4 linked regions of the Rhinolophus ferrumequinum genome follow. The protein of the gene in region 3 interacts with the protein of the main gene of each other region in a pairwise test. Links are inferred from orthologs where the notes say so. Each region holds a gene or a part of one and is shown on either strand. Other genes may lie near its edges. The genes, in order: fatty acid-binding protein, adipocyte; SIRT6; VIM; NOD2.

Region 1 (7,962 bases), on a different chromosome or scaffold from region 3:
TCAACTTAAAAAATTGTTAGAAAAATACCTCCATTTCCTCCAAAAGAAATAAACACATGCAGAGGTCAGGGGACGCATTCCATGGCGTCTGTCTGCAGTGGAGCAAAGAGCAAGGCGGTGGCCGGGACCCGAGCGAGCCTCTCCCAGGGTTTGGAGCCACGTCTCCATTCTCCACGTTGCCAAAGCAAAGCGAGACTCTAGCCTCTGAAGCCCCCTTCCCCACAGCTCTGGGGAAAGAGGCCGGCCTGCATGTGCATTTTCATGCTGTATTTGACTCCCTGTGACCAAAAGTGTAGTTACCCCTGTGGCAAGATGTACCTTGTTTAGGGGACCAGGTTCCACGTGAAGAAAGGAGCTGTCCATACCCTTCCTATACCGTGGCCTAATTTCTTTCCCGCTTTCCCATCGCTCACAGCCATTCTCTTTGCTCAGCCTCTCACCCTCTCTTAACTCGTGCCTTGTAAAAGAATTGACATCTGCTTGCTCTACCCTTTATCATCCACCATTCCTTGTGGCACTCCATTTTTGTCACACTCGGATTTGTGTTGTGGCAGTGTTCGCGTAAAACTCATACACGAGCATCAAGCATGATTATGTCCCCAAAACCCATATGTCATTCCTTCCGTGAATTAATGCATTAATCCAGTGAAAATTGGGGGAAATGAGGTGCTAAGAATTTTAAGCCATGGATGGGATAAAGTTCAAGATGGAGAACGGAGGTCAGGAGTGACGGGAAATTGGGAGAAAGGTATCTCTTATCCTTCATACATTTTATGTTAATAAAAGATACCAAAAGTGTGAAAAAAAATTAGGAGAGCAGCAAGTGCCCTTGTAGGGGGAAAAAAAAAGGAAATACGTATGTTAAGATGACTGTCAAAATAAAACATGTGAAAAGGCTTTGTATTTTATTCTGGCCCCAAGCTGGTCACTAGACAAGAACTTGCATCATTAAGAAGAGACAGAAATCACACGTTACTTTTTATTATATTCCCTCGCTGCACCTAGCACAGTGCCTTGGACGTACAGTAAGTTTGCAAAAAAGATTTTATGAAGATTATTTGCCAGTGTGAGCTTTCTACAATGAAATTGGGTTTGAAAATGTATGCGCATAATGCCATTTCTACTGGTTTTCAAGAAAGGATGAGCACTAAAGTCTGAATTCTCTTCGTTAATATGTAGGAAGGATATTCTTCAGAATGTTGAAACCAAGGTCGTCTAACATTGAAGTATTTTTTCCTTATTGTGACTTTTCTTATCATGTTCCACCTTATTCGCATACCAGCCCACTGACACTGTGGTGAAAGATGGTTATTTGATGAGGGAACATTCTCTCTTATCCGAGCAGTGGGATGAAGTCTTAGGAATTGAAATGAGGATAATTTATGGAGGATCTAGGCAGTAGCTTGCATTCCCAGTTGGACTGCAAAGCTGATGCATGAAATAAGAGGTGCGGGCCTTTGTGCTGAATTTCTGGACAGCTATTGTCTAGAAAAAATTCTCTCCCTACGTGATACTTAGTGGACTTGTGCACGGAGAAGGCGTGAGCATTTCATAGGATGACCCATGTGTTTGGAACAAAATCGAGCTGCTTCTAACGTCCCTTTGAGTAAGTAACTCTCTGGTTAGCCTATTTTTGTTCCTCCACACAACTGATCACACGACATTTCTTCAAGGGGACTCGACTACCCTTTCATATCATGGTGCTTTCATTGCTATTTATAATAAGTTACCAAGGCCCTTTCCTATTGTCACGGTTATTCTCATTTACCTAAAATCGTTCACACGCCTGTGGTTGTTTGTAGAAAATCTCAACTATGGCATTTCTCCAACAATGATCAGGTAGTAAATATGCTGACATAAAAACAGGAGGCTACTGATCTGCAAACATAGTCTTGCAGAATGTTACAGGGGTGTTGGTAGACCCCCCCCCAACCCACCTAATTAGGATTCCCTCCATGCGTTTTATTGAATACTTGATTACTTGCTATCCATCAGTGAACTATCTAGAGGCAAACCCCTGCCTTAATGGACCTTGGACTCTGCTCAGCAGGAACACACGTTTGTTTACATGTATGTGTGTGTGTATGTATGTATGTATTATGTATGTGTGTATACATACAAGTATGTATGTATTGTGTGTGTGTGTGTGTACATCTGTCATGATTTACTGTTGGAGTCGAGTTTGGGTGAAATTGTTATGAACAGGAAATGAACCGACAACTCCTGCTGTGCCCTGTGTCTGGATACTCTTTTCTGATCCTTCCGGGGCTGTTTTCTTGTCATCACTCAATTATGCACCTCCTTTGACCGACCTTCCTGGACCACCCCATCTAGAATTTTAAACTCAAAAATAGAGTCACGATAAGCCCTAGAAACCTACTACACAGTATGGGGAATATAGAAAACACTATTGTGTTATGATCATCAAACTTTCTAAGAGACTAGAACTTAATTATTCCAACTGCTAAGAAAGGATAATTATATAATAATTATCATCATTGTAGAGGTGCTAATTATTGCTACGGTGGCAATCATATTATAATACATAAATGTATCAAATTAACACGTTGTACCTTAAATTCGTACAATGGTATATGTCAAATATACTTTAATTGAGAAAACCTCAATAATAGGAAAACAAATTCGATCAAAAAATGGGCTTAAAGACCTTCACAGACACCTCACCAAAGAAGATAAAAAGATGGCAAATAAGCACATGAAAAGATGCTCCATATCACATGTCATCAGGGAAATGCAAACTGAAATGACAGTGAGACACCACTGCACACCTGTGAGAATGGCCCAAATCCAGACACTGACACCACCAAATGCCGGGAGCACATGGAGCCACAGGAATTCAGTGCTGGTGGGAATCAAACGGTGCAGCCCCTCTGGAGGACCGTTTGGTGGTTTCTAACAAAACTAAGCATACTCTTACCATATCATGCTCCTCAGTATTCACCCAAAAGAGTTGAAAACCCATGTCCACATGGATGTTTATAGCAGCTCTAGTCATAATCGCCAGAACTTGGACACAATGAAGATGCCCTTTAGTAGGTGACGGATAAACTGTGGTCCATCCAGACAGTGGGATATTATTCAGCACTAAACCTAAATGAGCTGTGAAGCCATGAAAAGACAGGAAAGAACATTAAATGCATGTGACTAAGTGAGAGAAGTCAATCTGAAAAGGCCACACGCTGTATGATTCCAACTCTATGACACTCTGGAAAAGGCACAACTATGGGGACAGTAAAAATAAGTGTTTGCCTGGGTGAGGAGCGGGCGTGTTTGAGAGGTGGGAGGGAGGTGAACAGGCAGAGCACAGAGGTTTTGAGGGCAGTGACACCACTCTGTATGTCACTATAATTATGGATCCATGTCATTATACACAAAATGTCCAAAAACACAGAGCGTACAACACCAAGGGGGAATCCTAGGGTAAGCTATAGACTTTGCGTGACTCTGATGTGTCCATGTAGGTTCGTTCTTGGTAAAAGTACCGTTCTGAGCGACGCTGATAATGAGGGAAGCTGTGCACGTGTGGTTGAGGGGCAGGCGATGAATCGGAAATCTCTGGACCTTCTTCTCAATTTCATTGTAAATCTAAAACCTCTCTCAAAAAATAGCCTTAACAAAACAAAACAAAACAACAAAACAAAAAAGTAAACCATTATTAATTTAGAACGTTGTCAGAGTTATCCCCGTATGAAGATTGGCCATTTTTATTTCCTGTTCAACAGGAAACAGAGGAATTTATCATCGCAAGCCTTCCTGGGGTGGTACATCACCCACAGGTCTTGTATCTGTGCAGCAGACCAGAATGGATGCATGTGTCACTGTGCCATTAACAAATGCAACGATTAAAGATTACTATTGTATCCTCTGCCCCAAACATTCTGGGAAGTTCTGGGTCTGCCAGCCGACGGTACACTCAGCAGATATGGTGCCGTGGGACACACAGCACGCATCCATCCTTCCACGACACTGCCGTTTTTCTTTCCTACAATCTGGGTATGTTCACGGGAGTTTGCACATGGGAACATTTTGATCATTCTGGAATGGAGGGGGTGCGAACCGAAAACCATGGTTTCTTTAGAAAAGTAATCTCAAGAATTATTCACTATGGAAAAGCAGGAAATAAGATTTTGATAGTTTGTGACCGGATCACTTGTGATTGTTTTCAAGTAAAGTGGCCCCTTTTAGTTCTGGATAAATTTAGAGCTCAGAATATAATTTAGGAAATGAATAAATTTTCTCAGTATAAGGAGCATATTTTGGATAGGGTCCTATTTTTTAAGGAGTTTGTGGAAATCAAGTATCTATGCTCTCATCGAGGGTTTGGAAGAGTGAGGTTAAATTATTACTTATCAATGAAATCTACAGTCCGGATGCCTGGTGGATTAATTGAATTTACTTTTCCTTCTTTATTCATGCAAAACATTTTAAATGAGAAACCTGGGGTACTTTAAAATGCCATTAGTTATTTTGTTTTAATTGCCAGGTAATTCCTGAGACAGGGCTGTCCAAAAGAGCCTCTGCAATTACTTAAGGATCTCCAAGATAAGTCATACATTTCTCTGTTTAAAATAACCACAGAACTGTAATTGTAATAGAAAGTCCAGAAAAAGGGATCAAAGTTCGTCTTAAGATAATTATCCTCCTTTACACTGGGGTAAATATGTATGAAAATAATAGGGGGAAATTCACTGCACTGAGTCTCAAACCATCAAAACAGGAATGTTTCAAATATTCTGTTCATAGTTAAAAATAATTTGTCATCTATGTCCAATGACCATTTGCCAGGGAGAACCAAAGTTGAGAGATTTCTATTATAAACATGACTCAGAGGAAAAAATGCAGAGGCTGGAAATGAAGGAAATGGTCTGATGTCATTCCCAATTGGTCATTGCTCAGATCACGTGTTTTGGGCACCTTTAAAAGGCAGTTATTTGGCCTGAAGACGGCAAAGCACCTTTTTGAAAGCTGCAGCTTCTTTCCCACCTTGAAGAATCATCCTAGAGAGCCCACAAAATGTGTGATGCATTTGTAGGTACCTGGAAACTTGTCTCCAGTGAAAACTTTGATGATTACATGAAAGAAGTGGGTAAGAAAATGCTTTGTGGGGAGCTGGATCTATGACTGTTTCTCTGGGGGCAAAAGGGGCTTATAGCTGTTTTTCACACTGGAAGCACCGGCCAGATATGAAATGCTGCTTTCTATACAGAGGTTCTAAAAATAGCAAGTAAGAATCATTTGTTTGTAGAAACTTTCTTGACCAAAGTCACAAGTACAGGTGAATGATTACGAAAAAGGGTCTAAATGGAATTTTTATGGTGTATAGCAATGACAAGATTTTATTGGACTGCTAAACTTGGGTATCTTGGGTTTACTTGGCTCTTTGTCTGCTTTTCTTTCATTCCCTCTTGCATATAAAATATGCAGTATTTATTTCCTAGTATGCAATAATTTCCATTTGAAATGGAAAGCATTATGCTTCTCATCGTTAATGTAAATTTTTTCGGTAAACATATGCCAACTAATTATTTTATTGTCTTAATGTCAATGGATTAAAAATGTGTGGTTGTGGTATGGGAGACAAAAAAAAAATCTTAATTTCAGAGAACTTGTTCCTTAAAGGGCTTAAATACTTCTTTGACTAGAAATTACGTGGGATGCTATAGAATCACTGAGTGATTTAAAAGGAGAATGTTACATATGTGACACACCCCCTCTCTGATAATGGAGGCTTCCAGGGTTTTAGATTCTGCTAACGTTGCTGAATCTAAAATTGTTCCCCAGATAATTACGGGGGAAAAGCAAGGGTGTAGGAAGGCAGATTCTCACTCAGGCACCTTGTACCTTGAAAGCTCCTCTCCTCACAACCCCCATGCATGACCAAGGGGAGCGAATCAGAAAGGAGCTTTTTCACAATATCTTTATTAGGGGATATGATTTAAGCCCTAAATCGCAAGACTTAACTTTCCCCTAAGTCATGTAGCATATTTTTGCTTGTGTGTAACCACTATTTTTCTTGTTTATAGACAAAAGGGAAACCAGGGACCTCAGCACGAGTGAGACCTAACTTTCTAGAATGTCAACTAGTTGTGGTTCTGGGACCGAATGTGTGCTGACATAGAAAGGCCAGGATCTGAGGCGATTTAGCGATTGACTTTCAGAAATGCTTTACACTTTCAATATTGACAGTTAGATTCTTGTACCACTGCATTTTAAAATTCTAAATGACTGAAGATAAGGAAAAACATAAGATGCCTCCTGAAATTAGATGCTGTAATTAATGAACCCTAAGCAGGTATGGCCTTCAGCAGTCAAATAAGGAAGGAATCAAGCAAGTGGAGAATGTGATGTCCAAGGTGGTCCACTCTGGTATCGCACTTGACATTGCATCCATCTCTATGCTGACTCACTCCATGCATCTGATGTTACATTTTGTAACAGAGCCAGGACTTGAAGCTACATATTATCTTCCCACTTGTGGCCACTTCTCAGACAGGGGGCGAAATCAGAGCCTCGGCATCATTTGTTTTGTACAGTGTTTCTCTTCTATATCTATATCTGGTAACTGTAAGTAGCTTTTAGTCAAAAAAGTAGCTTAGATTTATATACGTGTGTTTTTTAAAAAATCCAACACATCTATGACAGTCGTAAATTCTGTAGAACCTATACCTTGAGAGCAAGTTACTGCTGTATATTGTAAATTGTTCACCCCATACCTTTCCAGAGAAAAATATATTCCTCTTCAAGAAAAAGAGGAGTTTGAACTTAGGTGGTTGACAATCAAAGTATTGACTTCTAAACTTACTAAAATGGTGATTTCTTAAGTTTTGAAGTTTTCACAATTGATTCCTAGACCCTTTAACCTTTCCTATAAGTTATTCGGAGTAATATCCCCATTCTAAAATTCTGTGAATGTAAGAAACATTTGCCTTTGCAGAAATTCAACAAAGTCTTCATTTCATCATGGCATAATCTGGAAAAGCCAAGTAAATGAGACTGGGCAGCAAATGCTACAAAAATGTGATTTTTGTACACCTAAACAGATGATTTTTTTTTTACACCGGGTCACTCTATATTGGCCTCCAAATCCTACTGAGAATTCTGTCTTTGACTGTGGATTAGATCACATTTTTTTATTCTAAGAAAAATAAGTTAGGGTGCCCCAAATATTTCGTGAATTGAGTAAAAGGACAGCTGCTGCCCTCATGGTTGAGGTTGGCCACTGAATTTTGAGAGTGCAGTGACTTTTTAAAAAATATGTACCTCCCCGAAGACTTAACCGTTGTCCATATTCTTGTTTAAAATTAACCATGGGTCTCCTGAGGAGCTGCATGTGAGGCCCTGAAGGGGAAATCTAAAGGATGGATCTGCAGCTAGTTGTGCTTTGTGTGTTTCTTTAAATATTGGCCTGCCTTACTTGTCTGCAGGAGCTGTGTGAGTGAGGTGATAAGGAAAACTCACCAGTGGCTTTCCCTTTAACGCACACGCACACCCACCTACACAAACACACATACAACACACAAAAACACACGTACACACATACATACACACAGGTACACACACGTACACACACATACAAACGTACACACGCACACACACGCGCACACACGTGCACACATGTACACACACGTGCACACACGTATACACACGCACACACGCACACACATACACGCATACACACATGCACACACGCACACACGTGCACACACACACGCACACACACATACACACACGTACACACGCGCACACACACGCACACACACACGTGTGTACACCACAGTTCTTCCTGAAAGGTGAGAGAGAACATTGTACATGTGACGCTGTTTTCTCCCCCCCGTAGGCGTGGGCTTTGCCACCCGGAAGGTGGCTGGCATGGCCAAACCAAACATGATCATCACTGTGAACGGAGATGTAATCACCATCAAGTCAGAAAGCACCTTTAAA
Region 2 (7,079 bases), on a different chromosome or scaffold from region 3:
GGCCCTCCCTCCAGGAGTGCTTCTCTTGCCAGGGGAGACAGGGGGACACAGACCCTTCCGCCCTGTGGGCTGGGATGGCCCAGTGGAGGCAGTGAGGGCTCCGTGTAGGGTCTGTGGGAAAGCTTCCTGGGAGGCTGAGCTGTCTCTTGAACTGTGAGAGGGAAGGGCACAGAAGTTCAGGCACGAGCGGTAAGCAAAAGTCTGGGAGGCTAGCAATAGCCTGTCAGTTGGGGAAATGCAAGTGGTACGGGGGCTGCAGCAGGGGCAAGAGGGGCTGAGGTTGGAGAGATGACCCAGGGCTGGGTCAGGTAAGGCTTGGAACTCTCCTGTGTGGCAATGGGGAGCCCTGGCAGGTTATGGAGGAGGGGTGGGAGAATCAAGCCTTAGAATTCTAACATTCCTCTAAAGAATCTGCTCTCTTTCTGTGGGAGCCTGGGCTGGGGGCCCAAGAGGCCTTGGAAAGAGAGTATAAATGCAACAGGTCTGTCCTTTGCGGCAGGGTTGCAAACTCAGCACCTGCAGGGGCCACCCAGGGGCCAACTGTTTGAAACCCCTGCTTTTCAGCTGTAAGACTCTTGTTACACAGGTTGCCTGAAGCAGAGAGGGGTTTAGACATTAACTGGTTTCATACCCTCATTTATGGGCGAGGAAACACGTTCAGAGGATTAAGCCACCAGGTCTGATAGAAAAATATTTTCAAGTGAGTATGGGGCTAATTGCCCCTGATATTGATTCTCCCCATCTTCTAGAGTAATAGTACCCCAATATTTAGACATTCACAGTGTGCCTAGATGAAAACTACATTTGCCAGCATCCCTTGTAGCTAGGTATGATCAGGTGACCAAGTTTTGGCCAATGGAGTGAGTGGGATGTTGGCTGAGACTTAAAGGAACAAGTCTAAAAGGGAGGGGTCTTTCCTATCCCCAACACCCAGGGGAGGAAAGACTATTCAAGATTCACTGAGGGGAAGGCAGCAGGATGTGTTCTGAGGCCCGGGCAACTGTGGCTCACAGGGAAGCCCTTGGAAGTTAACAGGTCCTGCTTCAACTTTCCCTCCACACCCACAGACCTGAAGTCGGGGATGCCCGCGGCAGTGCTGATGCCGGCACCCGTGTGGACCACCACGTTGGAGGACTGCCACACCAGCTTTGCCAGCTCCCACACCTTCCGCTCCAGCTCCTCGGGGGGGTCAAAGATCTGTGGTGTGAGAGAGCAGAGGGGAGCGGTCAAAACGTGTCCCTTAGTGGCAAGGCCACTGGCCACAGAAGAGCTGCCCCCACCTTGCCCACGGGAGGAGAGTGGATCTGAAAAGGAGGCTTATTGTCATGTCCCTCCTCTGCCCACAGCCCTCCAGGGCTCCTACCTTTCTCCGGGTAAAAGCCCAAATCCTCCCTGCAGCCTGCTGCCTAAAACACTCTTTCCTCAGACTCCCTCCGCTCACCTCCTTTAGGTCGTGGCTCAAAAGTCACCTCATTTGTACACCCAGGTTCAGAGCAGCACTATTTACAATGGCTAAAACATGGAAGCAACCCAAATCAATCAATGGATGGATAAACACAACGTGGTCCATCCATACGTTGGGAAATTATTCACTTTAGAAGGAAGGAAATTCTGACACCTGCTACAATGTGGATGAACCTTAGAACATTGTGCTGAGTGAAATAAGCCAGACACAAAAGGACAAATATTGTGTGATTCCACTTATATGAGGTCCCTAGAGTAGTCAGATCCATAAAGGCGGAAAGTAGAATGGTGGGTGCCAGGGGCTGGCGAAGAGAGAATTAAAGTTTAAATGGGACAGAGTTTCAGTTTGGGAAGATGAGAAAGTTCTGGATGGTGGGGATGGTTGCACACCCTTATTAATATACTTGATACCACTGAATGTACACTTAAAAATGGTTACGAAGTTAAATTTTATGAAAGATGTATTTTACCACAATAGAAAACATTGAAAAATGCCATCTCAGTGATGTGTCCCTGGCCACCTGGTTTCAATGCAGCCCCCAATTCTCCTCACCACTGCCAGCTTTACTTTTCTCCGTAGCTCCCATCTCACTTATATTTATTTGCTGCTGTCTGTCTCCCCACTGGAATGAGGGGTTTTTGCCTATTTTGTTTCCTGCTGTGGTCCCAGGATCTAGAAAGTGCCTGGTGGTACAGCAGGTGCTCAGTAAATGTTTGTGGAATAATGTGAATACAGGCAAGAGAGGAGTGCCTTTTCAGGAGGTTTCACACCATCTGAGAACTCCTCAACTTCCCGACTCAGGACGAACGGACTAGCTTTCAAGGGATGGGGGCAACCTTCCCCCAGCTTACAGAAGGGGAGAGGAGGCGCAGAAGGGAAGTGACAAGCCCCAAGTCTCAGTGTATGGAGGGGACTTCCTCTCGGAGTAGCTGGAGGGGTCTTTCTGACACATATTTACATCCATCCAGGTTCCTTCCCAGCTCAAAACCTGTTTCCATCACCCTCAGGATAAAGTGTCAATCTCCCAGGCTGGCATTTGGGGCCGGTCCTGACCGGGACTCTGGAAACCTCTCTGGCCTAATCTGTTCCCCCAAGTGTGTTTATTCCCACCTATCTCCCTGCCTTTGCCCCTGCAGGGCCCCCTCCGCCTAGAACTACATCCCCTCCTCCCCTATCGGAACTTCAGGACTTCCTCACGACGGTCCTTCCCTCTGTGCAAGCCTCGTGGACCCGGAGCTGGGCGTCTTCGCGTCCCCGAGTATGCTGGGGGCGTCACTTCCCGCCCCCTCCTCACTGGGAAGTCCCTCCCATTGTCTAGCCTCAGTGCCTCCTGATATTCCCACAATGCCCCGCTGCCGCCCGGCCCCGCCCGGTCCACCACCCTAGAGGGGGAGGCTTTCCGGTCCTCCCGCCGCGCTCACCTCGGGGAGGCCGCACTTGCCCTTGTCCGCGTACGGCGACAACCCCGCTGCGTAATTCACCGACATTCTCACCGCTCCAACGGGAACAATAAAGTTTCCCTTGTTGAGGCCACTTCCGCCGGAAATAGGGCTGCACGGGGAGGAACTAGGAGTCGCCGGCTCGCTCCCACCAAGGCGCATGCGCCTCACGTTGACGCCGCAGGCGCCATCTTAATTGCTGGTTAAAGAAGCCGCCTTACTTCTGCGAGTTCGCGTGAGACGGAGGGGGCTGTGACCCGGCCGAGAAGCTGGGGCAGCTGTGCGCGTGAGAGTTCTGCAGTCGCCTCTAAAAGGAGGAACACAATCCATTTTCCCTTTTTACAAATTAGTAAAGTGATGCTCCACTTCCACTCCTGCATGAGGGTAGAATCAGAGAGAAGGGACCCAGTCCTAGGTTCTTTCCGTTGCACCTTTCAGACATTTGTAAAGTTACAAGATAAGTTATAAAGTTCAGGATACCTGTGGCACGGAGCAACGTGGGGCCTCATTAGGGGAGGTCTTGGCCAACACTCTAAGTTATTTGAATATTTTTCAGGTGGATGGTAATCTCCACTCAGTAGGACAGGTCCAGACCACCAAGAGACTAGAGAAACTGCGCAAGGTCATTGGGGCTGGTGGCCTTCAGGACTCATTTAGGAAACACGTGTTGAATACCTACTGTGTGCTGAGGAGGCACTGGAAAACAAAGGTGGCACCTTGTGGCTAATTAGGGACACAACCCAGTGACTGGGCTGTCGTGACTTAGTGTGATTGGGGAGCAGTGAGGGCGCCGGGGAAATGCGGGAGCTCAAAGGAGGCACCTGACCCAGCCGGGGGCAATTCGGAAAGGATTTCTGGAGGAGAGGGTGTAGCAAAGATCTGAAGAGTGAGTAGCAGTGAGATGGGGAGAATGAGCAAGTTGGGGGTGACATGGGGTACAGAAAAAGTGTTCCTGGCAGAGGGAACAGCAAGTGTAAAGGCTGAGAGGAGAGAAAGACGGTGGCTCATTCCAGAAACTGAAATCAGTCCGGTGACGATAGGGAAGAACATCGGTGTCTTCCCGCCAGAGCCGGTTGGCCAACAGGCAGCCCCGCTGCCAACCTGTCTCCTCCCTCGGCTCATCCCCGGCCCCCTGGGGCAGCTGCCCGCTCAGAGGTGATCGGGTGTCGGAGCTGAGCGCACAGAGCTGCTGGTACGAGCTGGTGGCCCAGCTGGGAGCAGGTAACCGGAGCCAGCAGTGAACACGGTGGCCTGGTGCTGGAGTCACTGGAGCTGCAGGAGGTAGGAGAGGAAGGAAGGGAGGGAAGCCTGGGCCGGGGGCTCCCCTTAGGGTCTGAGGCTCCTTGTCCCTGAGCCCTGATATGTGGGAGCAAGGAGAAGCCCGTGTGTGTCCCAGCCACGCTGAGGAGCCTCTTAGGCGCCCTGACACACACACACAGTGGTTCGTGCACGCACCTCCCGCTTCCCAGCCTTGGCCTTGTCTAGGGTATGGACCCTGTTTTCCTGCTGCTGCTCAGTATCCTGCCGGCCTTCAGGCCCTGCTTCTATAGCATCACCTCTTCCAGGAAGCAGCTCCCTAGCTGAGGGCACTTCCCCCTCCCCCAAGCTCACAGATTCCCTCCTGCCCAGGCAACCTGTGGACTCCTCTCTTGGGTGTCTTATTACACTCTGCTCTGGGTGTGATTGAGTCCTTTAGACAGGGGCAAAGACAGGTGGGAAAGGTGGTGAGCAAAGCAGTACATTGAGTGAATGGAGTGAATTAAAGGGTGAATGAATGGATGGGCAGTAGATGGATGACTGGGTGATAGAGTGGATGGATGGATGGATAGGTGGACGGACGGGAAGGTGGATGGATGGTAAGTCGATAAGTCAGTGGAGGGTGGATGAGGATGGATGAGGGAATAGATGAGTGGGTGGGTGTTAGATATGTGGGTGAGCACATAGGTGGATGTGTAGGTGGATGGATTGATGGGCAGGTAGATAGGTGGGTGGTTAGGGGGGTGGATGGATGGATGGATAGGTGGATGGTGGGTGGTTAGGGGGCGGATGGATGGATGGATAGGTGGATGGTGGGTGGATGGTGGGTGGTGACTGAAGCATAGTTGAAGGGTGCATGAAGGACCATGAGAAAAATGAGTTGGGCAGGTGAGTTGGTGGGTGGGTATACAAGTGCTTGGATAGGGAGGTGGATGTACAAATGAGTAGATCGGTAGGTAGAAAGAAGGAAGGATGGCTTGGAGAAGTCACGGGCAGGTGGACAGGTGAAATCCTGTTCAGACACAGGAAAGAATCCCTACCCACACACCTAGCAACACATCCCTTCAAGACATCCCTGCCTGATCTCCATACCCACATGTGCATGGAACACAGAACAGGCCAAGGTGCATAGATGTGCATGCACACACACACCTCATGCTTGTGTGTGTGCACGTGCATGCACACATTTATCACCCCAGACCTCCGCCTGCCTTGGGTGACTTGTGTCTAGTCTCTCACTCACACAGAAGTCAGGCTGGTGTAAGGGATGTAGCTGCAAGGACGTTCTCTCTGACGATCCAAGAAACATACCTCTGTGCTAAGAGCCTCCGCTCTGGGCTTGGCCCCAAGGAGCCCCTAAGTATTCAGAAAGATTGAACCAGCTCAGACACCTTGAGCTTGTGGAGCCATGGCTGGGGCAGGAAAAGGGACCCAGCCAGGGCTGGGGGAACCCAATTTGGGGGGTTAGAGCTCTGCCTGCTGGTGAGAGGCAAAGTTGATCAGAGCACGGGGTTTTGGAACTAGGCTGTGTAGGATGAATAGGAGTTCACCAGAGAAGGAAAAAAGAAAGGCAGGTAGAAATTTCTAGGTAGAAATAACTGCACAGATGAAAGCTTGGAGACGAGAAAATGCTTGATCTGCTTGGGCCACAGGGAATACTAGTGAAGTGAATTATTGAGGACCTGTTAGCTGGGCCTGTGGTAGGGACCTCATGGAAAACTGACCACGAGATGGTCAAGAGGGGATTACCTTCCTCATTTTAAGGATGAGGGATGTGAAACTTAGAGAGGGCAAGTGACCTGCTGAAGGGCACACAGCAATTAGGAGATGCAGCAGGTAGGTCTCTGTCCTGCTGTAGGTGCTGGGATGGCCCAGTGAGGGGGAAGTGGTTCTTTTGAGGAGGGGGAGGTAGCCGACCCTCTGGCTCACCAGCACTGATGTCCCTCACCCCCTGCCCTTTCCCAGGTGGCCTGGGTTGCAGAGAAACACCAGACACTGGCCATGAAGACTCTCCGGGCACGATTTAAGAAGACAGAGGTGAGTGTGAGGCCACTGAGATGCCTGATGTCCCGCAACCTCAGGTTCCTGTCCTCCAGGGCCTGAATGAAGATCCACAGGCCTTGTGGGCTGTTTTCCCCCACCCATCAGATTCTTTTAGCAGCTTCCACATGACCCTCTCTGCTCAACACTCTTCCATGGTTCCTCACCACTCAAAGGTTCAAGTTTACCCCTTTAGCCTCTGGCCACCTCTCCTTCCCTTTCTCTCTACTGCCCCCTGCTGCCCCGATGTCCCCACTGCTTCCTGTTCAAGCTTTCTGGCCACCATACCTTTTCCCAGGCTGCTCCCTCTACCTGGAATGCCCTCTCCCCATATTGCTGCCTGTCATACCCTCCCCGTCCCTACCAAGTTGGCTCCAATAACGCTTCTTCCAGAAGATCTCTGCTCTCCCCAACTACAGTGACCACTTGCATTTCTGAGGACTCACTTTTTGGGGGACTCTGATCTCTTGCTTTTGTCTATTTATTCAGCACACATTTGTATCAGGCACTGTTCTAGGCACAGAACAGACATCAATGAATAGGGCAGACAGAAATCTTTGCCCTCTAGAGCTGAAAGCCTGGTGGGGGAGGTGGACGCTAAACAAGATCGATGAGAGAAAGGCATATTTTGTGTCATGGAGCAAAGAAAGCAAAGAAAGGAAATTGGAGTGTCCAGGGCAGGGGAGAGCATTGCGATTTCAAAGCGGCTTGTCAGCAAAGTCCTCGCCAGGAAGCTGATCTTAGAGCAAAGATCGTAAGGGAAAGAGAGAGGGCTTCGTGTGCTTATTTGAAGGAGTTGAATTCCAGGGGTAGGGAACAGCCAGTGCGAAGGCCCTGAGGTGGGATCGAGCTGGCTTCCCTTGCAGCTATATCTTGGA
Region 3 (7,030 bases):
TAACATAAAACATTTCTTAATATCTGCCAGACTCCTCTGGGAATCTGCTCCTGCACAACATAATTGATAATTATCCTGTCTTTTCTCTTTTCAGTTCCTAGAACACAGTCGGGCCCTAAATAATATTTGTGAATTGAACTGGTTGACAGTAAGCAAAATCATCATGGCAAAGAGAAAAGAAAAAATGCATTTGGACTCAGTCCAAATTCTTGCTCCCTTCCTCTCTCCTACTAGTTAAAGACCGTGAGCAAATTGTTAGCCTGCATTTTAGACACTTCATGTATGCAATGGATGATCAACTCTATCTCACAGGATGTTGTGAGAGCATTAAATTAAGTCCATGCAAAGTTCAGGTCATCCAGTGGGCACAGAAAACAGGCATTTATCATAGTATTGTTATCTTTGCTTCCATACCTTTTAGGTTTGCCATGCTTTTCACCATCTCACTTAATCCACTTGCTCATTTCTAACATTCCATCCAGGCGATCCTGCTAGAAGCTGTCCTCTTGGCACGGCTACCTGCCAGCCAGCTCTCCTAAAGCTCCCACAGGCCACTGAGCTCCTCTCCTCATGGCTGGCTGGTCCGTCAGTTCTCATCACCCAATGCAACTGAAATTACTACAGCTGGCAAATTCCAAAATCACTGTCAGTACTTTAGATTTGGTGATGTTTACACCTGGCCTACAAATTGCACCTTTGTGTCCTTATTTATACACAACCTGCATCATGCAGTGTTTGAAGCAGCTTCACAGTCCAGCATTTAAAGCTACTCTGAGATAGGTATTTCACAGCAATCATAAGTAAATATGAAAACTGAAAAAGCTATGTCTATATCCTGCTTGCTTCCAAAAAGTAAGCAGGATGAGTTAATCATATTCAAGGATGTTACTTCAAACATACTGATTTCCCTCAGCGATGACTGTCATCCACTGGTCGGGGCATTGCGCTAGATAGACATTGTATAATTTACTTCCCAATGCATTTACTTCTTTCCAAAGTCTCATGCATTCTATATAAATGAGTAAAAGTGTTTTTGTAACCTTCACTTTTCTACACTCTATAGTCCACCCCAAGCTATGGCAATTTCTAATAGGAAGCACACACCAGAGACTGTGTGTGTGTGTGTGTGTGTGTGTACACGCACACACTCGCTGTATGGCCAGTGCAATGGGCTGAATGTTTGTACTCTACCCCGAAATTCCTATGTTAGAACCCTAATCTCCAAAGTGATGGTATTTGGAGGTGGGGCCTTTGAGAGGTGATGAGGTTTTAGATGTGCAGTTTAGAGTAAAGCCCCATGACGGGATTAGTGCCCTTATAAGAAAAGGGAGAGGCCAGTGTTTGCTTCCCCTGCACTTCATGTGAGGACACAGCAAGAAGGCAGCTGTCTGCAAACCAGGAAGCAGGTCCTCATCAGACACCAAATCTGTGGGCACCTTGATCTTGGACTTCCTGCCTCCAGAAGTGTGAGAAAGAAATGTGTATTCTGTGTGCCACGCCATCTGTGGTATTTTGTCATAGCAGCCTGAGCTGTGACAGCAAGTGAATACATCACAGTCCTGAAAAATCAGATTGGAGAAGGGATACCCCTGAGATGGTGAGGAGGTCCAGAGTCCATCCCAGAGGAAGTCACCACAGCCCTGAGGAATCTGCTGTGGTCACCAGCAGGGCACTGGCCACGCTGCACCAGAGCCTTGCCCTCATTTTCCATGGTGAGTCAGTCAGCAAGCGTCCCCTGATAGCAAGCGTCACCACTGCATTGCCCTGGGATCAGCATTTTAGGTGGGAGGAAGGTCCACCCTCTTTCCCCCCATATTGAGAGGACTTTTTCTCATTCTAAGGGTTCCAGGCAAACTCACAATGGTGACATTTCCTGACCAGTGGCTTAAATAAAGGGCTCTCAGAGAGCAAGATGATAACGTGGAGCATAAGCTGGTTTGCGAGGGCACTGAGCCCCAGGAATGCTCCTTGGGAGGGATACACAGCCTCCCAGTGTCAGAGAGAATAAAGGAAACCCACAGCAGGGGAGCTGTGTAGCAAAGGGTCCTGCAGCTCAACTCTGGCAGTGCACTAGGGCAGAAGTAACTGAAATGAGGTAAACAAAATATTGCCTGAAAGACGCTTGTACAAAGAAGCTAGAATAAAACCTTCAGTTGGTTCTACACTATTTTTCTTAAATGCTAGGTAACCTGCAGTACCCCTCTGCAAAAAAGAAAAAAAAATACAAGAGCCAGAAGGAGGGTTTTACTTATTCCCCCCCCCCCACCTCACCTATTCACTATAGAATCAAGATGCTTCTGTTTTTACAGAGGTTTTGGAATTAATCCTTTCAGTACTCCCTAAATTTTCTATGCACTCAAAAACAAACAAACAAACAAAAAACCCTGATTTTTTACATTGCTACTTAATTCAAAAAGACTGGCTCGCCTTCACTCTCTTCATCTCCCTTTAGAGGTAACTTTGTTCTGCATGTTTCTAATATTGCAACAATAGCCCTTGAGTGATTTACCTAGAAAGGTTTTGGTCATGGACTCTGAACACTCCCTTGGTGCTCTGGACTAAACGCTTTTTGTTCTGTAGACAGTTTTCTCTGCCCAAATTCTTCTGGAAAACAGGCCGAAAGAACCTGTGGCATTTCCCAGACACGTCACCAGAATCCTGCAGTGTGCACAGCTAAATGAACACATAAATCGATCCTCCCCCCAAACATTATGACCTTTGAGTCACATAATTGCTTTTCATTAATCAAATTGGAGTTTTAAAGCAACACTTAATTAATTCTATAATTGGCGCAGATTATACCTTTAATGACTTCCACTGTAGCACAAAAACCAGTGATCACTGAATTTGATTTTGAAACTACGGACGCTGAGTTTCCTCTTTCACCCAGAAGTTTCAGATCTTGTTCAAAGTTGGGTGTGGTTTCGTGGGGGGGGAGTGGGGGAGGCCGAGAGGAGACCCGAGGGGAGAGTGGGAAGAAACTTGGCAAGAAAAAACCCGTGTTTGGGCGGCTATCCAGGGTCTGCATATGTTTCTTGCTAAGAAGTCCGCACATTGGAGCAAAATCAGGCTTTGGCGAGTTCTTAAGAACTCCGAGGCGCTGTAGTCTCCCCTACCAGAGAACTACACACAAGAATGCGGCGGCCCGCCTCGAAGTTGGGTAAAACTTGGAAAACCAGTGCGCGCGGGGCCCGGGGAGACCTGAGTCAATCCCGTCTAACGGTTCCCGCAAACCGCTAGGAGCCCTCAACCTAGGCAGGCAGAGAGCACAGTGACTCACTGCCAGTGACTCAACGACCCCACCCCACTCCCTGGGGTCGCCGCCTCGAAGCTCACGCGGTCCAAAGCCGGACCAAGCCCGTCACGTCCCTGAACAGGAACCCTAAGGCGAAAGGGTAAAAAGAGATGCGGGCCAGAGCGATCCCTTTCCAAGCCCAACACGCGAGGCGGCACCGGGGCCCGAGCCCTGCGTCCTGGGCTGTGCGCCCCCCACCTCGCGCTCCAATCTCAGGCGCTCTTTGTTTCTGTTACCACGCCTTCCAATCTGCTGGATCCCTTACTCCCCCTCTTCCTACTCCTTTGCCGGTGCGTCTCCGCACCCACCCGCTCCCCGACCGCTCTTGTAGCCACCCGCCCCTCCCAATTGCGCGCCTCCTCCCACGCCTCTTTGGCGAGGTGCCCGGGACCCCTTTGATCCAGTCTTGGGTGCGTTCCCCCACCAACGTGCGACCCCGCCTTTTTCAGCACCCAGGGGTGAGCAGAGCTCAGGCCATCATCAGGAAAGCCCCCAAAAGTCCCTGCCCAGCCAAGAAGTAACGGGACCATGCTCAGTCGCGAGAGCCGAGGAGCAGGGAGGAGGAAGACTCCAAAGTGCCCACGCCCCAACCCCCTCCCACCCTTCCCGCTACTCGCCGGGTCCCCATTGGCTGGCGAACTCCGGATGGAGGTGGGAGGGGACCCTTTACCATCAACGTTATAAAAACTGCGCCCTCGGCGGGGTCCCGTCCTCTGCCACTCTCGCTCCAGGGTCTCCGCGCCAGAGACGCAGCAGCGTTCCCACCGCCCACACCCACCGCGCCCTTGCTCGCCTCTGCCCGGAGCCAGTCCGCGCCGCCACAGCCACCCAGCCCATTGCCACCCTCCGCAGCCATGTCCACCAGGTCCATGTCCTCGTCCTCCTACCGCAGGATGTTCGGCGGCCCCGGCACCGCCAGCCGGCCGAGCTCCAGCCGGAGCTACGTGACCTCGTCCACCCGCAGCTACAGTCTGGGCAGCGCTCTGCGCCCCAGCACCAGCCGCAGCGTCTACGCCTCGGCCCCCGGCGGTATGTACGCTACGCGCTCCTCGGCGGTCCGCCTGCGGAGCGGTGTCCCGGGCTTGCGGCTGCTGCAGGACTCGGTGGACTTCTCGCTGGCCGACGCCATCAACACCGAGTTCAAGAACACCCGCACGAACGAGAAGGTGGAGTTGCAGGAGCTGAATGACCGCTTCGCCAACTACATCGACAAGGTGCGCTTCCTGGAGCAACAGAACAAGATCCTGCTGGCCGAGCTCGAGCAGCTCAAGGGCCAGGGCAAGTCGCGACTGGGGGACCTCTACGAGGAGGAGATGCGGGAGCTGCGCCGGCAGGTGGACCAGCTCACCAACGACAAGGCCCGCGTCGAGGTGGAGCGCGACAACCTGGCCGAGGACGTTATGCGGCTCCGGGAGAAGTAAGGCGACGCCCACGCGGGGCCGCGGGAGGGAGGGAGAGGGGTTCGCGCCCCCCCCCAAGAGGAGCTGCCACGCCCTTGGGGATGTAACCGGGGCGGCGGCAGCGGGGGGTGGGGGGGGGAGGGGGGATAGCAGCGAAGCGGGGATGTGGCTGCGATGGCTCAGCCCGGCCCGGAACCCAGACTTTGCAGTTCCCCTCTACACCCACTCATTGCTTAAGAACGCCCGTTTCAGGTTGCATTTTTTTTTGAAAGTGCCAGTTGTTAGTTGAAGGCCCTTGCAAACGATGAGCGCAGTTCGTTCAAACTCTTAGAAAGTTTCCTGGCCCCTTCTGGCGGACTGCCAGCCCTGAGGCGGGGGTGGGGGGGGGTAGAAACTGTGCCGGAAGCTAGACAAAGGGGTTGCAGAGGCTTCTCGGGGACGGGGTGACGGCGTTCGCCTTGCAGGTAGGTCCCTGCGACCACCGTGATTGCTTTTCTACTCTGCGACCCAAGTCCCGCTAAAACTTGTCGAGGGTGACAGTTCCGAAAGCTGCAGTCGCTGGGTGCCCGCGGAGGTGGCGCAGCAACTATTGTCTCGCTGCACAGCGACTTGGTGGTTGGGTGTGGCCGCCCCGCCCCTGGCGGTTTCCCAGTTCCCCTCTGGTTAATGTGCAACTGTTTCAGATTGCAGGAGGAGATGCTTCAGAGAGAGGATGCCGAGGGAACCCTGCAGTCTTTCAGACAGGTTTGTAGATCCTCTTCCCATTCGCAGCCACTGGACCCCACCCAACCAACCCAAGCCACGCGCAATTCTAAAAGTTACCCCAAGTCTAAGAGTGCAAAACTTCACGTCTGTGCGCAAAGCCCCCTAGTGGCAAAAAGACCCCAGATTGGAGCTTCCTCGATAAAATCCCTAGGATGATTGTTCTTAAGGACAGAGTCTTTAACTTTTTACTTTGTTTCCAGATTTTTTCCAAAGAAATATTTTTTCCGTTTATTTCTTGCAACACATTGATAATCTGATTTACAACAGTTACAGTTTGAGTGAGATTGCTGTTTGTGAAGTCAAGTTGGCTAACTTTTTACAAAGCCACAAAAAGCGCAATTCTGCCCTGTAGTTAAAAATGTAAAACGTGTTGGAGGATAAGAAAGTTAGCTTAACTGGAACGAAGCCAGCAAGGTTTTCTCCTTTGCAAATTCTATTGTGGCATTAAAATTAGATGGAAGTATCGCTATGCACAACTATTTTGTGGTCTAATAAGTGTGAAAAGGAGCCATCTGTCCTCTGGCTGAAAGGTATTAATGGTTTCTCTGGGCTTCACTATGGAATGTAGATACAGACTCTGGCTAGTGTGATGGCTCTGGACAGAAATAATAGGAGTCTTTGTGTTCCCAGAGAAGCTTTGCAACAGGCTACATTCTTATTGAATATGTAATGATGTAAGCACAATTCTAATTGGACACAAGTATTTGCTAACATCCGTTATCTAATATCTGGCCCAGACTTGTGAAGTATGTGATGTGAAAAGTTCTTAAAGCTACAATCATGCCTCACATTTGGAAAGGTCTTAATACTTTTTAACTTCTCTCCATAAATAAAGAATAACCCCAAGGCTGAAAAATGGAATTTTAATTAAAGGGGTTTTTTGTGTTGTTTTTTTGTTTGTTTTTGCTCCAAAGTTAGATGGATTTAAAGGATTTTTTTAAACTTAAAGTTGGAATTCAAAAGCAGGAAGAGTTCCCAGCATAGCTGAATAACAATTTGAAGCAGAAATACATTTGCCAAAATAATTTAAACACAGCAATGTGTGGTCATTTTAGTCATTGGGCATTTATGATCATCATATTTGTAATGTTTTTCAGGGTAGTGAGTTAACATAAAACAGTATTAGTATAAAAGATCTGTTTAGGGATTAAGTAACATTCCTCATATTCTCTTCAATGAAGTAGAATGTCACATTATACTTTTTAAAATAGAGGCTAGCAAGTTATTTCTTACATCTTTTTTTTAGGGCTTACTAACAAGCAAAAATGAATTTTTCCAAAGCCTCATTATTTTTAAATCATCACCCATTCCTCAGTTACATTCCCATAAAGGTAGAAGAAGTATCAACATTTTAAGACGATAAGGCTATAAAACTATACTCCAAAGATAACCGCTTACAAGATCAGAGGTATAAAAATCCTTATGATATTCCCTTGAGGGGAAATAAAATCTGAGTTGTAACACAGTGGGAACTCAGAAGGAGAGCCAAAGTAGCAAGAATTCTACATATACAGTAGTTTCATTATATGCAAAAGTTTTGATCAGTCATTCTGAAACTAAGTAACTGAAT
Region 4 (7,293 bases), on a different chromosome or scaffold from region 3:
GGTACCTCGTCATGGTTTTCAGTTGCGTTTCCCTCACGACTAGTGATGCTGAGTGTCTTGTCGTGGGCTTGTTGCCATCTTTATATCCTCATTGGTGAGGTGTCTGTTCAAGTCCAGTGCTCCTTATTTGACTGGATTATTTTCTTAACGGTCTGTCGGTGTTCTTTATGTATTCTTGGGGTATATGTACCTCTCAGTCTCCTTTTCCATCTTGTGGTTTGCATTTCTACTTTCTTAATGGAGTATTTTGATGAATAGAAGCTGCCAGCTTCAAAGTATTCAACCATCTCAATGTTGTCTTTCACAGCCAGCGTCACACCTCCAGGTCCTAGGGATTTCTCCTTTATTGTTTTTTTAGCGTTACTTCTGCAACTTCACGCAGGCCATGGTGAGGCTTAAGACGAGGTAAGATGGGCAGAGCGCTTGGAGCGATGCTGGCAGACAGCAAGCACTGTACAAGTGCTGGCAATTCTGATTAATTAAAAGCCTTTCAGTTTGCTTGTCTCATCTGGGGCTGTCATGCACTGCAAGTAGGTCATTGTACATGGTGTGAGGTAGGGGTGCAAAGCTTTATCCCCCCCATGTTTACCTCCTGGTCTTCTTTATTGGAATGGCCGTCCGCTGCTGTGCAGTGTGCCATCACTGTTACAGACAGAACATCCACACACGTCAGGGTCTGTTTAGCTCAAGGGGGTGGGGGGCCCTGAAGCGTGCTGCTGGCCTGCTAGCCGGTGAGCCCCTTGAGTCCAAGGGCCTTGTCTCATTCTTCTGTGGCTGTGCTGCCCTGCAGGTGGCCTGGTGTAGTGAGGGGACATGGGCTCTGTGTGGAGCGAGGCTGGAACGCTGTCTCCCCTCCTTTCTTTGGGGCTCGCCCTGCAGCTTTCCAATTTTCTCCCTCACTCTCTGCCTGGGCCTGGAACCTTCCAGATGCCAGGGGCAGACACAGAGCCCTTTTTGGCAGCCCTCAGAACTTCTGACCCAGCCACCAGCCACCATCGGGGAGAGCGTGTGGAAGCCGCTGCTTCCTGTTCTGGGGCAAGGGACGCTCTTTGGAAAGCCCCGGACACACACGGGTGTCTGGCCTGAGAAGGAAGAACCCAGCTGGAGCAGAGTGACGGGAAGAGGCCATGTTTACGCACCTGCCCACTGCTGGCTTTTCTCTTTAGCACAGAGCTCTAGTAGGACAGGCAAGGCCTCACTGTCATTGTGGGGGGACATAGGAGTGGGCAGCCCCCCACTGTAGTGCTGGAACCACTGTAGATGGTGAAGAGGGGCCACCAAGGCGTCCTGGCGAGACAGGAAAGGAAATGCTGGCATCTCGGAGTGTCGGTGTCTCTTCTGGAATTCAAATGGCCTGGACCCTGCGGTGGCATCTCACTGCATTTGGAGCAAAGTCAGAGCCCCACCTGAGGCTCCCTGGTCTGCTGCTGGCTCCCCTCCTACCTTGTTTGGCACCCCTTCCGGCATCACTTACGCACAGCAGCCATCCAGGCTGCTTTCTGTCCTTAGACGTGCCTCACAGGCTTTGCCCTCGCAGTTCCTTCAGCCAGCAATGCCCTTCCCATGGTTCCTTCCACGGCTGACTTTTCTCATCCCCAGGGTGCAGTTTGGTTGTCTGACTCTTGAATGGCCTTCCCCGACCCGCTCTGTCAAGTCCTATCCTTGTTGTGTTTGTTTACTTGTTTATTGCAGTTCTCAAAACCGTGACGGCAGAGACTTTGTCTGTGTCAGCACTCTGCCCCCAGCACCTACTGCAGCCGTATGGTGGGTGCTCATTCATTGCTGTGTGAATGAACGAATGAATGAGTGAGTGAGTGGGGCATGCAGAGAGTGGTGATGGGGGCTGTGGCTCCAGCTCAGCCCTGACGCACTGTGTGTCCTAGACAGGCCACCACCCCTCTCTGAATTTCAATTTCCCTAACTGTAACATGAGATAAAACTAAGGATCCCCCTCACGCCATTGGGCAAGTAACCAAACCCCATGAACTACCACTGACTACTGCTCCGGGCCTCGGACGGGCTTAGGACTCCAAAACCAACACGCTATTTTTGGTCAGTTTGACAAGAATTAATCACTCACAGGTGTGCCTCCACAACGGTGCAAAGAAAACCCAAACCGGTGAGGTGTTTGTAGGAGACACAAAATCCAGCCAAGTCCATCTTACTTTTCTACCATTGAGAGTCCACACACAAGCCTTTTAAAAGTCTCAAAGGTTCTTCTACCATATGGTCCAGCAATTCCACTTCTAGGTATTTATCTAAAGAAAACGAAAACACTAACTTGAAAAGATATCATGTTCTTTTGGGTGAGAGACTGACACCAAAGACAATAAATAAGTAAATATCTAGTATGTTGTGTGCAGATAAGTGTTACGGAGAAAAATAATTAAGCAGGGAGAGGGGTGCAGGGGAGGGGGTTGCAATTAGACAGGGAATGGTCAGGGAAGGCCTCCTTGAGAAAGTCACATTTCAGCAAAGACCTGAAAGGAGGGAAGGAGGGAGCCATGGAGGTGTCTAGAGGAAGAGCATTCCAGGCAGAGGGAACAGCAGATGCAAAGGCCCAGAGGTGGTGGCAGGTCTGCCCTACTCCAGGAGCAGCCAGGAGGCCAGTGGGCTCGAGCAGACAGTGCACAACGGAGCGAGTGAGGACGGGCCCCGAGAGGGTGCTGCGTGGAAATAGCAATCGAAAGGATTTTCCTTGGCTTTGGCTCTGAGGTGGGAGTCATCGCAGGGGTTTCAGCAGAGGAGTGACCCATAATTTGACCCTTTTTTACGCAGACTCACTATGGCTGCTGCTGGAATCCTGGAGGACGGCTAGGAGCTCTTGCCAGAACCCAGGTGAGAGATGATGGAGAACGGGACCCAGGTAGTCATGGTGCATCTAGTAAGAAGTGGCTGCGTTCCACGTGTATTTTGAAGATCAAGCTGGAAAACTTACTCCCAGGTTGGATGTGAGGTATGAGAGAGAAGATGAGTGGGCTACGTTTTCCAGTGGCCCTGGCAGTTTTCTTAAGTAACCCGTGATTGTGCATTGAGAAGGTTTCCAGCTTTTCACTGTTATAAAGAAGAGGTGGTGAGCATGCCTGTGGACAGATCTGTACCCCACGTGGAATGATTTCCCTGGGCTAGTTGCAGTCCTTCTAACACAGCATTTCCCAACCCCAGCCCACTGCGTACTACTTGTGTAGGTAATTAGCTGGAGGCAGTGTGGGATGGTGGTTAGAGTATTGCCAGATGCCGGGGGGCAGATCGTGGCACTGGGGTCACTACTCGGACCGATTAACTTTTCTGTGCCTCGGTTTCTTTATCTATACATTGGGGACGATGACAGTCAATATCCCGGAGATTGGATTCACTGAGTTAATGTATGTAAAGCCTGGTCCATAGTAAGCACTATGTGAATGTCCGTTCTTTAAATTGACTTCACATTTAAAAACTACCAAGTGCAAGTGTTTTAAAAGGCACATTGATATTAATACCTTCAATGGAAGGTGTCACTTGCTCAGAAATCATACAATAAATTTAACCGAATGGAAACAAAACAGTGCTGTTAAATTCTGGTTGGATGTTACTCAGAGCCCTGTAGACTAGGCAGGCAGTGTTAGAGAGGCGTGGGAGCCCTGTTTGTATGAAACTGACGCGGCTCTCCTCAACTTAAACAGAACGATCAAAAGAAAAAGAAAAAAAAGAATTACTTTAAATGCCCGGTCTGCTCTCAGCTGACATGTAACCCATAACATTGCGGAAAAGCAGGGCTCTGGGACATCATAATAATCAGGCTTTAGATGACTTTGGGCTTACTGACCCATCAAAGGGTGTGTGGGTTATTCAGGCACCGAGAGCTTTGCTAGCTTTTCATTTCACAGGATGCCTTATGTGTATGGGTGTGTGTGTGTGTATGTGTGTGTGTGAGAGAGAGAGAGAGAGAGAGAGAGAGAGAGAGAGAGAGGGAGAGAGAGAGAGGGAGAGAGAGAGAGAGAGAGAGAGAAGGAGGGAGAGTTGAGAGTTGGGAGGGAGACTTGTCCTGAGAGACTCTCAACGTTCCCTCCAGTTGAAAGGTGGTCCAGAAAGGGGGATACACTTGGCCTGGGTCACACAGCCAGGGCCTTGCAGTCCTACAGGCAGCCCCGCCACTTCCCTGCCAGCTCTCGCTCCCATCTGAGGAGAGCTCCTAGCCGCCCGGGTGCTGCGGGAGGGCTCGCAGGACAGGAGGGACTTGGCTGGCTGGGCAGGTGGGCGGGGCCGAGAGCGGGGGCGGGATCAGGCGGGGACGGATCCCAGCGTAGGAGCCTCCCAGGCCAGGACTTAGCCGTGAGTTTTGCCTCCGACGAGGGTGCGGAGAAATCCGGGCGCCTGCGGCTCCGAGGTGAGTGCTCCAGGGCCCAGCTCGTGAGACAGCAGGCGCCGAGGAGGGTCCCACCCCCGGGACTCCTGGCTTCGGAGCTGTCCTGGCCGGTGGGCAGAGGGAGAGGCTGCCTCGGTTTTCCCTTGGCGGGGTTTCAGGGATCTAGACGGGAGGTAGACAGAAAGAGGGCATCTCGAAGTTAGGGAGCCCCCTGGAGGGCGGTGACTACAGAAGATGAGAAGGCTTGGGGGCGTTTCTGGGCCCCAGGAGCCTTTGAGGTCTGGAGAGAGGCAGTGATTTTCAGGTGGTGGGGAGTGTGGAGGGAGAGTCAGCAGGATGAGAATCCCCGAGGCACAGGGCTGACCTGGGAATGAGGAGGCCAGGCTTCAGGTCTCAGAGGGGCCTGCTCTCCGTGAGTCCCTTCCTCTCTCCGGGCCTCAGTTTCCCAATCTTACCATGCCTGTGAATAGGTGGGTGCAAGTGAGTAAGTGTCTGGATGACCTCTCACCCTTCCTGCAGCCTGTGACTCTTGGATGGCTCAGCCCCATCCCTACCAGACAGGCCCATACCCTCTGTGCCATTGGCCCTCTCCTTTGCTCCTCATGTTGGGGGCCAGCCAACTGGTCCTACTTGCTTCCCAGCACTAAACCGCCCCCCCCCCCCTGCCCCAGTCCCCTCAGAGAGGGCCTCCCACAGCCGGATCCCTGACTCTGTGTTGGCTCTGGTTTCTCACCCACTTCCTGAGCCCTTGGGCTTCTCCCTGCCATGGCCTTGGTCTCCTCATGGGTTATTCCCTGGCCACAGGGTCCTTATTCCACAGAGGGGAATAACCTGCCATGTCACCCGTCCCCTGATCCCTTGGTGAAGACCAGAGTGACATTTCCATCACCTCTGCTCTCCTGCCTCTAAGTTTGTCGGTCACTCAAGTCCCCTTTGCCAATCTGAGGCTGGAAAGGACCCCATCTCACCCACTACCTCCCACCCAGTGCAGGACCCCTCTGCTGTGTATGCTCAGTGATGCTGAACTTGTTACTTACGAGGTGCTGTTCTGTGGCCTGCAGCTCTCATTTCATCTAGCTAACATCTGTGGCTTGCAGATTCCATCCTTTCGTTCCACTTCTGCCTCCTGGAACCATGCAAAGTAAATTCATTCTTTTATTCATTCAAACACTCTTTATCAATGCACTGGGTGAGACACTGGGGATAGAGCAATAAAAAAAGTCCGGCAAAACTCCCTGCCTTCATGGAGTTCCTATTCTAGAGAGGAGTCAGACAGCAGTCAAATAAGTGAATACATGATACGTCAGGTGGTGAGAAATAAAGCAGGTGAGGAGGATGAGCATAGGCAGGCATGTCCTCTCTGAGACGGCGACAACTAAGCAAGGCCTTGAAGGAGTTTGGGGGTGGAGTTTCGGGAATATCTGGGGGGAAGGACAGTGTACCCACATAGGGACAAGCAGAAGGTCCTCAGGCAGAAGCATGACAGGCAGGAGCAGGTATGTCTTGTTCTAGGAACAAGGAGGGGGACAGTGTGGCTGGAGCAGGGTGGGTGAAGAACCAGTGTGGGACGAGTGGGAAAGAAGTACAGAGAGGTAAGGGCTGGGGGGCGGGGTCCGTTGCCTGGGCCGAGGAGGCCGCTGGGAGAGCTTGGTTTTCACTCTGAGTGCCGAGAGAACCACCGAGAGAGCCACCGGAGGGCTTTGAGCAGAGCTGTCACCTGCTCTGACTTAGGGGTTAGCAGGTTCACCTGGTTGTGGGCGGGACAATAGGCTATAGGGGGTGAGAGCAGAAGGGGGACCCGTGAGGGGACCACAGCTGTCATTCTGGGGAGAGGCCGTGAGAGCTTATACCCAGGGCGTAGAGGTGGTGAAATGTCAGATTTTCAGATTTGGGATATATTTTGAAGACCGTAGGGTGGAGAGGATTAGGGATGCAAGAGAAAGGGGGCGTCAAGGGTGACGCGGGTGGTGGGGTGGAGTCTGGCCTGAGCACCTGGAAGTTTGGAGCTGCCATCGACTGAGATGGGAGCTGTTTACGGGAAGATTTGGTTTGGTGCTTGTTAAGCAGGAGATGCCCGTTAGCACCCATGCGAAGACGGCCAGGACGCAGTTGGGAAAAGTTTAGTAGAGAGGTTGGAGCTGGAAATAAAATTTTGGATGATATCACCACATACCTGGCATTTAAAGCTATAAGAGCTGGTGAGTCCACTTAGGGAGAGAGTGATATGGAGAAAAGAAGTCCAACCAGGGAGCTCCGGGGCTCCCAGCATTAGGAACCAACCAAGGAGTCAGAAAGAGCAGCCAGGGAGATGGGAGGAAAAGTTGGAGAGTTGGGGTGTCCTGGAGGCAATGAGGAAGGTGCTTCAAGGAGGAGGGGGGCAATGAGGACAGATGCCTTTGACAGAGCAAGCAAGCTGAGGGCTGACAGTCAAGCCATGCAGAGGTCACTGGTAACTGTGACAAAAGCAATTGGGGATTAGGGAAGACAGGATTGGCAGGGCGGGGAGGAGAGGCGTTGGGGACAGCAGTACAGACAACAGACAAGGAGTCCTGCGGTGAAGGGGCAGAGAAATGGGATTGGAGCCAGAGGGAAGTGGGTGTGGAGGGAGGGCTTTACTTTTGGGGTGAAGTTACAGTCTGTTTGCGTGCTGGTGGGAAACTCTTTTAGAGAGAAGCTTGGTGAAGGGGGCCAGAATAGAGGATGGCTGCAGGGCTGGGGGGGGGTGGGGGTTGGATCCAGTGCCCCAGGGGAAGCTTGGGCCCAGCCGAGAGCCAGTGCAGTTCAGAAGCTGGGGATCCCAGGGCCTCCCTCCCTCTTCTGTCTGCAGGGGCCCAGCAGGCTGAGATTTCAACTGAAGCCTGAGCATCCGTCAGCTGCCCCAGATTCAGTGCAGTGTGTTCGGGAAGGGCCCTGCTTACTCAAAGCTCATCCTGGTGGATGAGCTCATT

What was found.
Region 1: the proteins of VIM (region 3) and fatty acid-binding protein, adipocyte interact in a two-hybrid assay, tested with the Homo sapiens proteins (2 studies listed by BioGRID and IntAct). The link is inferred for Rhinolophus ferrumequinum from reciprocal best matches to the Homo sapiens genes VIM and FABP4.
Region 2: the proteins of VIM (region 3) and SIRT6 interact in a two-hybrid assay, tested with the Homo sapiens proteins (2 studies listed by BioGRID and IntAct). The link is inferred for Rhinolophus ferrumequinum from reciprocal best matches to the Homo sapiens genes VIM and SIRT6.
Region 4: the proteins of VIM (region 3) and NOD2 interact in binary tests that used the Homo sapiens proteins (3 or more experiments, as listed by UniProt). The link is inferred for Rhinolophus ferrumequinum from reciprocal best matches to the Homo sapiens genes VIM and NOD2.

What each region holds. Positions count from the first base shown.
Region 1 is NC_046297.1:4,231,778-4,239,739, forward strand, and holds the start of fatty acid-binding protein, adipocyte, read left to right. Parts: upstream 1-4,950; 5' UTR 4,951-5,034; coding exon 5,035-5,107; intron 5,108-7,858; coding exon 7,859-7,962.
Region 2 is NC_046301.1:59,431,380-59,438,458, reverse strand, and holds the start of SIRT6 (NAD-dependent protein deacylase sirtuin-6), read right to left. Parts: upstream 3,005-7,079; 5' UTR 2,953-3,004; coding exon 2,887-2,952; intron 1,956-2,886; exon of another isoform or gene 1,950-1,955; coding exon of another isoform or gene 1,935-1,949; intron 1,198-1,934; coding exon 1,070-1,197; intron 1-1,069. Other genes in the region: ANKRD24 (ankyrin repeat domain-containing protein 24), read left to right, coding at 6,163-6,198. UniProt on the Homo sapiens protein: NAD-dependent protein deacetylase, deacylase and mono-ADP-ribosyltransferase that plays an essential role in DNA damage repair, telomere maintenance, metabolic homeostasis, inflammation, tumorigenesis and aging.
Region 3 is NW_022680355.1:3,291,827-3,298,856, forward strand, and holds the start of VIM (vimentin), read left to right. Parts: upstream 1-4,012; 5' UTR 4,013-4,149; coding exon 4,150-4,712; intron 4,713-5,378; coding exon 5,379-5,439; intron 5,440-7,030. UniProt on the Homo sapiens protein: Vimentins are class-III intermediate filaments found in various non-epithelial cells, especially mesenchymal cells. Vimentin is attached to the nucleus, endoplasmic reticulum, and mitochondria, either laterally or terminally.
Region 4 is NC_046298.1:5,222,436-5,229,728, forward strand, and holds the start of NOD2 (nucleotide-binding oligomerization domain-containing protein 2), read left to right. Parts: upstream 1-4,277; 5' UTR 4,278-4,366; intron 4,367-7,172; 5' UTR 7,173-7,293. UniProt on the Homo sapiens protein: Pattern recognition receptor (PRR) that detects bacterial peptidoglycan fragments and other danger signals and plays an important role in gastrointestinal immunity.